Cricetulus griseus: one gene and its partner. The main gene of each other region encodes a partner of the protein of the gene in region 2 in a complex. Links are inferred from orthologs where the notes say so. Each region holds a gene or a part of one and is shown on either strand. Other genes may lie near its edges. The genes, in order: Birc2 and Btk.

What was found.
Region 1: the proteins of Btk (region 2) and Birc2 are in contact, whole or in part, in a crystal structure (PDB 6W7O), measured with the Homo sapiens proteins. The link is inferred for Cricetulus griseus from reciprocal best matches to the Homo sapiens genes BTK and BIRC2. Residues at the interface, in NP_000052.1 of Homo sapiens: Leu483, Asn484, Arg487, Glu488, Tyr551, Ser557, Lys558, Arg562, Lys595, Met596, Tyr598, Glu599, Arg600, Phe601, Thr602, Glu605; in NP_001157.1 of Homo sapiens: Pro280, Ser281, Ser282, Asn301, Asp302, Asp303, Arg314, Cys315, Glu317, Ser318.

Annotation. Positions count from the first base shown.
Region 1 is NC_048597.1:122,217,831-122,222,312, forward strand, and holds the start of Birc2 (baculoviral IAP repeat-containing protein 2), read right to left. Parts: upstream 2,976-4,482; 5' UTR 2,834-2,975; intron 1,352-2,833; 5' UTR 368-1,351; coding exon 1-367. UniProt on the Homo sapiens protein: Multi-functional protein which regulates not only caspases and apoptosis, but also modulates inflammatory signaling and immunity, mitogenic kinase signaling, and cell proliferation, as well as cell invasion and metastasis.
Region 2 is NC_048604.1:45,526,128-45,530,543, reverse strand, and holds the start of Btk (tyrosine-protein kinase BTK), read right to left. Parts: upstream 3,052-4,416; coding exon 2,911-3,051; intron 2,019-2,910; coding exon 1,920-2,018; intron 1-1,919. UniProt on the Homo sapiens protein: Non-receptor tyrosine kinase indispensable for B lymphocyte development, differentiation and signaling. Binding of antigen to the B-cell antigen receptor (BCR) triggers signaling that ultimately leads to B-cell activation.

The DNA of each region.
Region 1 (4,482 bases), on a different chromosome or scaffold from region 2:
ACTGCAGATTAGCAGAAAGCAGGGTGTGAACAAAGCTGCAGCTGGGGTACAGCTGCCTGTGCTTTTCCACAGGACTGTCGCCTTGTTTCCAGTTGTCCAGCATCAGGCCGCAGCAGAAGCACTTGACCTTGTCGTTGACACCTGTATAGTAAAAGCCAGCTCGAGCTAGGCTCCTTTCCGATACAGGAACTCCCGTGGGGAAAGCTGAGTACGTGGACATTCTATACAGCTCACATGAAAAATCATACTTCATTTTTTCTTTGCTCTCTCTTGTCCAGTCTGGCAGGGTTGTGCTATTTTCCATTATACTTGTGGGGTTTTGGCGTAAGGTACCTTGGACAACTCTTTGGGAGAGAGCTGTGTGCATGAGTAGTGAGAGTATCTCTAAAAGCTTACACTGCCTTTGTGAAGCTTCTCACACCTTCACACTAAGTAAGATCTCTACCACAGACAGATCCTAACTGGGTGGAAGTCACTACACCTGACTGCATTTATATGAGTTCACCCTTATATAGGACAAACCTGTCTCATTTCCCAAAATACTACACTACTCAGGACTCTAGGATCATATGAACCCTTTTGGGTAACCCAAGAGCTATTTAACCATAATTTACTTTCATTAAAAAAAGTTATGTAGTCAAGATATACTGAGTCAGGTGCTGACTATATTGGAAAAATTATATGCAGGCTTTTTCACCTTATAAGGACTTTAACATAAGGTCCAAACCTACTCTATTGTCTACCAAATACAAGTAAGTAAATTCTCCACATGGTTACATTTCCTAAAAGCTAATTTCCCACAGCTCATCATCACAGTATTTCCTGAAGTGGTTTATACTAATCTCAGTTACCTTCTGGGGAAGTTAACACACCTATTAAGACTACAGTATGCGTGGTGAATGACCTTTACTTAAAGCTTGAACTGTTATTAATCTCACCTGTTAAATCTTATGTGTTAGTACCTTAATCCTTCCTGTGTCTATTATTTTAATATATCTGGTCAACACAGTATTTTGTCCATAAACTTGATAGACTGCATTTTTAAAAGTCCACCTTAGCTTCACTACATCTGTTATAATTACAGATGAACCACTTTATGAAGACAGAGCTCTCTCTTCTGTTACCACAAGTACCTAACAAGCCTGTTTTACCACAGCATTCCTGTTGCACGAAGTACCTTACTAACTAGCCTTCTTTTTTGAGAACTCAATATTTTATATAACTATTCATACACAAAAGTACACTCCATAGAATTCAAACTGCATTTTTTATAAAAATTTTCAGATCTGCATGACTAGGTTTACTTCTAGGAAAACACCGGAGGAAATGGAGACTCTTAAGTGCTGTACATCTGGAAGGGAAAAAAAGATATTTTTATAAAACTAATTATATACCAGTTATGACCTCTTCAATTTATTCAGTAATATCTAAAAAATGACTCATTGTAGATAATACATCCTAACTACAGCAGTTTCTCACCCAACCACTCTACTTAGAAAAGGTCTAAATCAAAATACGTGAGTGCAGAAGACTTCCCAGAGCACTAACTATGCTTGTCTTTAAAGCGCACAGCTTTGTACATTTTAAAACGTAAAACTTTAAAGTCAGATGGAAATTTCCATCAAGGAAGAAAAATTGGTCCCCGATTTCACATTTGTGATTTTATTTACTGTTTATTTATTGTTACACAAAATGTACCATACTTCATAGTCATCTTTTTTTCAGTTATTTTTTGCAGGGACAGGGTCTCATTCTGTAGCTTAGGCTGGCTAGAAAGTTAATGTAACTCTAGCTGGTTTTAAAACTTGTTGGCATTCTCTTGTCTTGGCCTCCCAAGCACTGGGACCACACTACTGCCAGGCTCCTTTCATTTTCTGATTTAAAGATATTTTGATCGGGTACTTGGTTGGAGACAGAGAGCACCTGTGGGTAGTGGGGAGACAGTCTGCGGGGGCTGCTGATGCAGCTCCGTGTTGGGGCTTTTGCCTTGCAAGTAAAGGACCCGGGTTTAATCATCGCAGTTGTTAAAGAAAGAACTAAAAAAGGAGGAAGAGAAGGACGAGGACCAGGAGGAGGAAGAAGCATCTCAACAGAAAGATTTCCGAGGCCCGCTTGCAATCTCAATCTGAACACTAGGAAGATAAGGCAGGATGAAACGCTCTGCCAGCAGAGCAGTTGATCTAGTTGGGACTGAACTGGCCTAGACCCAGGAGTCTGGAAGAGCTCATTAACGCCTTCCTTCCGTTAAGGACAACCATTCCCTAACAATGCCAGCGCAGCCACCACTGAAACAATCTCAAAAGTGAAAAGTACAATTGCTTGTGGAGCACTGGCCTGGTACTAGGCTTCCACTGCACACCCGGTGCTCATCTGCAGCCAGTGCCTGCTCTCTGTGCACGCTGCAGAGGGGTGACGCTGGGTCAGAGTGACAAAAGACGCGCTTCCCTATTCAGCCAACCACGCAGTTATTGCTCACCCCAATACATGAGAAACGTCTCGGTTTAAAGGCAGTAGAGAAATGCCACCGGTAAGCTTAAAGCCCTGCGAGATGGGCGTGGTGGTGCGTGCTAGTAATCCCAGCACTTGGGAGACTGAGGCAGGAGGATGGCCGCGAGCTGGGGACCAGCCTAAGCTGACTCAATAAATAAATAAACCGAAAGGAAAAGAAAGCAAAACTGGAAAGCAAGTCCAAGCCCGAGGGCCGGGAGGCGAGCGGTGGTCGGGCGGCCTTGACAACAGGGGTTCTTACAACACCGGCTGAGCTGGCTTCGGGGAGCCGAGGGCCCTGCTCGCCCGCTCGCCCGCCTCGCCGGAGGGAGGGAGCCGCACTCACCGCGGAGTCGAAGGACACGGACGCCGCAAACCCTTACTGCTCACCCTCAGCCTTCCCGAAAGCCCCCGGGGCCAGAGGGGCGTGGCGGGCGTGTGGTGACGACACACGGCGCGCACCCACTGCGATAGGGGACTAAATTAACCGTGCGAGACTGCACATGCGCTTGCGCTTGCGCTTGCGCTTGCGCTTGCGCTTGCGCTTGCGCATTCAGGTTTTAGAAGCCGAACATCCGGGCCTAGCTGTCCGGGACCGGAGCAGGGCTGGGCCTTCGCCAACGCCCCTCGGGCGAGCCCGCACTCTCCTTCCGCTAGGAGTTTCGGGCGGTCGGCCTTGTGTGTTAACTGGCGGTTGCACCTTCAGGGTGGCAACCGCGAGCCGCCGCCCGTGGCTCGGGAAACCCTGCGGAAAAGCCCGCGCGGGCGCTCTCCCGCCTCAGCCCGCCACCATGGCAAACGTGGCTTCGTTGCCGAGCCTGGCCTCGGGCCCCTGAGTAAAACGTGTGCGTGTTGGACTTAGATGTTCTGTGAGATGGGCCCACGGACAAGTGGGCTCGTCTGCTGCACACCGCAAATCCCAGGAGTTGCGCCCGGCCGTGGCCAGCACACCCAGGCTTGCACACCGAGGCTCGCACATCGAGTCCAGCACAGCAAGGCTCGCACACCGAGTCCACCACAGCAAGGCTTGCACACCGAGGCCCAACACCCAGGCTTGCACACCCAGGCTCACTCACCGAGGCTGCCTGAGACCTTTGCGGCGGGGAGGCAGTTACACATTGTTTTGTTTTTAATACGCGCAGCAGGCAACAAACAGATAAGGAAAAAGCATAGTAGGAGGGTTAATAGTATAATGGGGGAGAGTGAGGTCAGAGTGTGTTGTTTATGTGTGATGAAACTGTGGAAGAATAAATTTAAAAAACTGCCTCCCCACCCCAACCTCCGCCGCCCCTCCAACACTAGCACACCAGGAAGGACTTCCCAATGCTTTTCCCGCCTGCCCTCCTGTTTGGATGTGTTGTGTTTGCTGTTTGGGGTTGCTTTTGCGGGTTTTATATTATTATTATTATTATTATTATTATTATTATTATTATTATTATTATTATTATTATTATTTGTTTGTTTGAGAAAAGATCAGGCTGGTGTAGGATTTAGCATCCTACTTCAGCCTCCTGTGTGCTGGGATTTGAAGTGCACGCCACGACGGGGGTGGGGGAGTGGTTTATGATTTAATTTATCTTGGGCTAGTCTTAGCCAATGAAATCAAAACGCTCCGGGGAACTCCAGGGGACAAACATTTCAAAAATTTAGAAATAACAGGCCAGTAGATTAGGCAGCCAAGGGGAATTCCAGAACCCATTGCCTCTCCCCGTCTTTCTGCCTGCCAATAGGTCAGTCACAGAACGGAGGTGAGAGTAAAAAGAAAGTATTTGTACTTTTGTGATACAGAGGAAAGACGTGTCATGGTTCCCAGTGGCTGCCTTCCAAAAATACACATGGATGCCAGTGTTTAGTTCAAGTCACTACTTCTGGGAAAGTTAAAAAAAATTCCTAATACTTGTGGGACTCTAGCAAGAATAGTGCACATTGAATTCTAGAGTAGGTCTCTTTTTCAGTTCTTGTCCTGACCAAAACACAAGATAGTGAGTCTACTTA
Region 2 (4,416 bases):
GGCAGATCTCTGTGAGTTCAAGACCAGCCTGGTCTACAAGAGCTAGTTCCAGGACAGCTTCCAAAGCCACAGAGAAACCCTGCCTAAAAAACAAACAAACAAAAAAAACAAAACAGAACAAAAAATAAGGTATAAAGGGCCAAATAACTGGCTCAGAGTGTAAAGGCACTTGTCACCAAGCCTGAATACCTGAGTTCACTCTCCAGGAACTCCGTAGTGGAAATTGATAGACAGATTACATATAGACAGACAGATAGATACATCAAAAGTTTAGCCAAGCATGCTGATGCACGCCTTTAATCCTAGCACTCAGGGGGCTCCATAGTCTCAAATAGACAGATAGATAATTAATTAAAACATTTTAAAGGGAAAAGAAGAAGGAGAGGGACAGAGAAAGACACTTACCTGACTTGGACCTCTGGCTTCCACATGCACACAAACAGGTTTACATACATTTACACACACTTATACATACATATACACACCCAGAAAATAAATAAATAAATCTAAAATGCCAACTCCCTCCCCCCAAAAATACAGGTAGCTTGCAAAGCAAGATATATAGTAGCATTGTATTCTAGTTATATAATATATAGGTGCATGTGTATCGCTAGTGGAGAAAACATATTTAAACCTGTATATACCAGAATGATAATTATTATTTAAATGAATAATGGGTTTATATATCTTTTTATCTTAGTTTTGTGATTTCTATATTTTTCCATTTTCTATCCTAGATATGCATAATCTTATAAACAGGAAAAATAAAATGACAAAAAAATCAATTCAGTAATCATCCGGTGCTATTCCTTGGAAACAGCCTGGGAATTCAGGAAGAATAAAGCTGACTTGTTATCACCAATTCATGGAAGACTGAAGACTTTTCGGGCTGGAAAGATGGCTCACTGGTTAAGAGTACATAACTATTCTCCCAGAGGATCCAAGCTTGGTCCCAAGAAGACACGTCCACTCACAACCACCTGAAATTCTAACTCAGGGATCTGACGCTGGCCTTTGTATACACACAATGCACACACTCAACACACACACACACACACACACACACACACACACACACACACACACACACACTGGCCTCTGTATACACACAATGCACACACTCAACTCACACACACAATTAAAAATAAAATATATTTTCAAAAAAAGCAAGCAAATTCTCTTTTGGCAAATTCTTTTTTAATCTCTCTCTCTCTCTCTTTCTGTCTGTCTGTCTGTCTGTCTGTCTGTCTGTTTGTCTGTCTGTACGTACTTATTTTCCAGAGCATGCCTGTGGGGGTCAGAGGATAGCTTCCAGTGTCAGTCCTCATCTTCCACCTTCTTTGAGACATGGTCACTTTTTCAGTCGTTGCATATGCCAGACTAATTGGACCTTGAGTTTCTAGAATTCTCCTGTCTCCACCTCCCATGTTGCCACAGGAGGGCTGAGATTTCAGGTGCGAATACACTCCTGGGTCTGGCTTTAGGTGGGTTCTGGGGATTCTTGCCTGGCAAGCACTTTACCACTGAACCATTGCCTAAATGACAAGCTTTTCTTTCTTTCTTTCTTTCTTTCTTCCTTCCTTTCTTTCTCTTTCTTACATTTTTGCTTTCTATGTGTTTCGTGTGTGTGTGTGTGTCCACACTCGTACCACAGTTCTCATGTGGAGGTAAGCAGACAATTTTCAGGAGTTGGTTCTCTCCTTCCACTGTGTGAGGTTCAAGGGATAGAACTCAAGTCATCAGACTTGCCAGCAATTTCCCTTACCCACTTGGCAATCTCACTGGCTCCTGATGAAGAGTTTCTAAAGAAACAAAACTGTTCTACAATGCACTACAACACCACCATTCTATTTGGAGTATTTGCAAGTTCCAAGCGCCTTACAAACTGCAGCTCCCCCTCTTTGACACTAGCTTCTTACCGGAATCTGTCTTTCTGGTGGAGGATTTTTTTCAGGAACTACTGTCTCAACGCAGGTGATCTTCTCAACATCTATTGAACCTTTCTTACTGCCTCTTCTCTGAAGGAAGGAGGAAGAAAACGCAGGAAGATTAAGAATGATCAAGCGTTCAGACGTTTACACACATTGTTATCTTATCATCCTCTGTGGTAGGTAGCTCACATATTCTAACAGATCCTGGTTTCTCTTTGTTTGGGGTCTCACTATGTAGCCCTGGCTGGCCTGGAACTCACTATGTAGACCCGAGTGCTGGCATTAGTGTGTGCCATTGTACCTGGCAAAACCTGTCATTTTTAAAGTAAAAAATAATCCAACATTTATCTAGTCTTTAAATACCAAATAGGAGGAAGATGACAAGGAAGAATAAATGATTATAGTCAATTTCGTCACAAGAAACAAAAAAGGCAGGCTGGGTGGTGGTGCCACACACCTTTAATCCCAGCACTGAAGGGCAGGGGTTCTCAGTAAGTTCGAGGGCAGCCTGGTCTACAAAGCAAGTTCCAGGACAGCCAGGACTGTTACACAGAGAAACCCTGTCTCAAAAAACAAAAACAAAAACAAAAACAAAAAACAAAACAACAACAAAAAAACCCACCACCACCACCAAAAAACCAAACCAAACAAAATGACAACAGGGAATAGAAATAAAAAAGGCAACTTTGAATCCTTGGATTGTATTCTCAAGAGGCATGTAAAGAGCTTTTACCAACCGCAAGATTCCATGGAAGACACTCTGAACAGCTTCTAACACTCTTGAATTTTTCCCTGGCTTGACTGCACCTACTCCCAGTCTAAGAAATATTTTTTAAGAGTTTGAAGTACTTAAGTCTATTTTATTTCTACCCCCACATACACCTCCCCTTCTACCATGGATGACCTATCTCATGTCTCACATATCTAAGATCCAATCCTTGAAATGGAGAAATCCAGACTTCACGTTTGGGAAACTTACCCCACGTTCAAAGTCATACTCATAGTAGGAAAGTTTTTGCACAGTCAAGAGAAATAGGCGCTTCTTAAAGTTTAAAGGTGAGGTTTTCTTTTTCTGTTGGGAGCGCTTCAGAAAGATGCTCTCCAGGATCACTGCAGCCATGGCTTCCTCTCTCCAGATCTCACCTGGGTGCTGTGGATAATGCAAGGTTTTGAGGATCTAGCATAGTCATCTCTAATCCCTCCTGGTTCTACCTCTGCCCTGCTACCTGTTTTAAATGAAACCCTCACGTGCAACACTAGCAAGGAAACATTTTTCCTGACCTCCTTCTTCCAAAGTCCCCAACTCTGTCAAATTTCAGAATCAGTGAATGCACACTGAACAAAGCCTGGCTTCTTACATAAGGGAACCAATGTTCTAGATAATCCACGACATATACTAGGTTGTTTAGCAATGTCTAGACACCACTCTAAACTACTTAACCTTTTTATGACACACGGCCAGAATCTGTAAATGGCAAAAATGTCTGTGAAACTCTTGACCCTGATATTCTCAGAAGGAATCATTCAGGTACCAGAATTTCACTAAGGCAGATACTGGACTTTCAGTTCCCAGTTTCCTGAACAATAAATGTAATTTTTTTCAAAAGCTGACCAATTCAGGTCTGTAGACAAAAGAACATTGGTGGGTTCACCTGTACTCATGAACACACAATAGCTGCCATTCGACTGATTTAGTTCATGCCTTACTGTCTGGGTTATAAAGGAGTGAAGCTTTGTTTCCAAGTTGAAAACCGTTTTACTACAGTATATTAGTGCTTCGGCTCTCGCTCCCATTACGGTTTCCACAGATGATTCCCTTTAGATGGCACCAGGTAAAAGTGATGTAACCTGCAGCCTTCCGTTTCCAGCACCCATACCATGGCTTGCACCCACCCGTAACTCCAGTTCTAGGATATTCGGCGCCTTCTTCTGACCTCCATGGACACCAGACATGCAAGTGGTACATGTTGCGATAAAGCTTGAAGGGAACCTTGCATGGGGGACCTTGGTGGATTCCATGGCAGGCAAGGGTGACCAGGCGGGAAGCAGGGGGAGGGTGGCAGGGGGACAGGGACGGACATGCTAGGCAGACAGAGCTTAAGTGAGAAGTTTTATTGGAAAGGGGAGGGAGGAGGAAGGAAAAAGAAAAGAGGTAAAGAGGCAGAGACACACAGAGAGGACAGAAACGAAGAGGGAGACAGGAAACGTCCTGCCTGCCCCAGGGGAACCGCGGGGAAGACAGCTGGAAAGAGAGAGCAGGGAGAGAAGAGCAGGGAGAGCTGGAAAAAGAGAACCGGAAAAGAGAGCATAAGTGGGCGGGGTCTTTCTTTTTAAAGGGGTCCTTTGCACCTGCATGCAGACTACGCAATCATGGAACCCTGGGCTGACCAGGGTACTGCCTGAGTGCATTCTGCCAGGTGACAGGCGCAGGACAGCATAATGCCTGAATCCTTACGCTGCACATATGTACACACAGGCAAACACT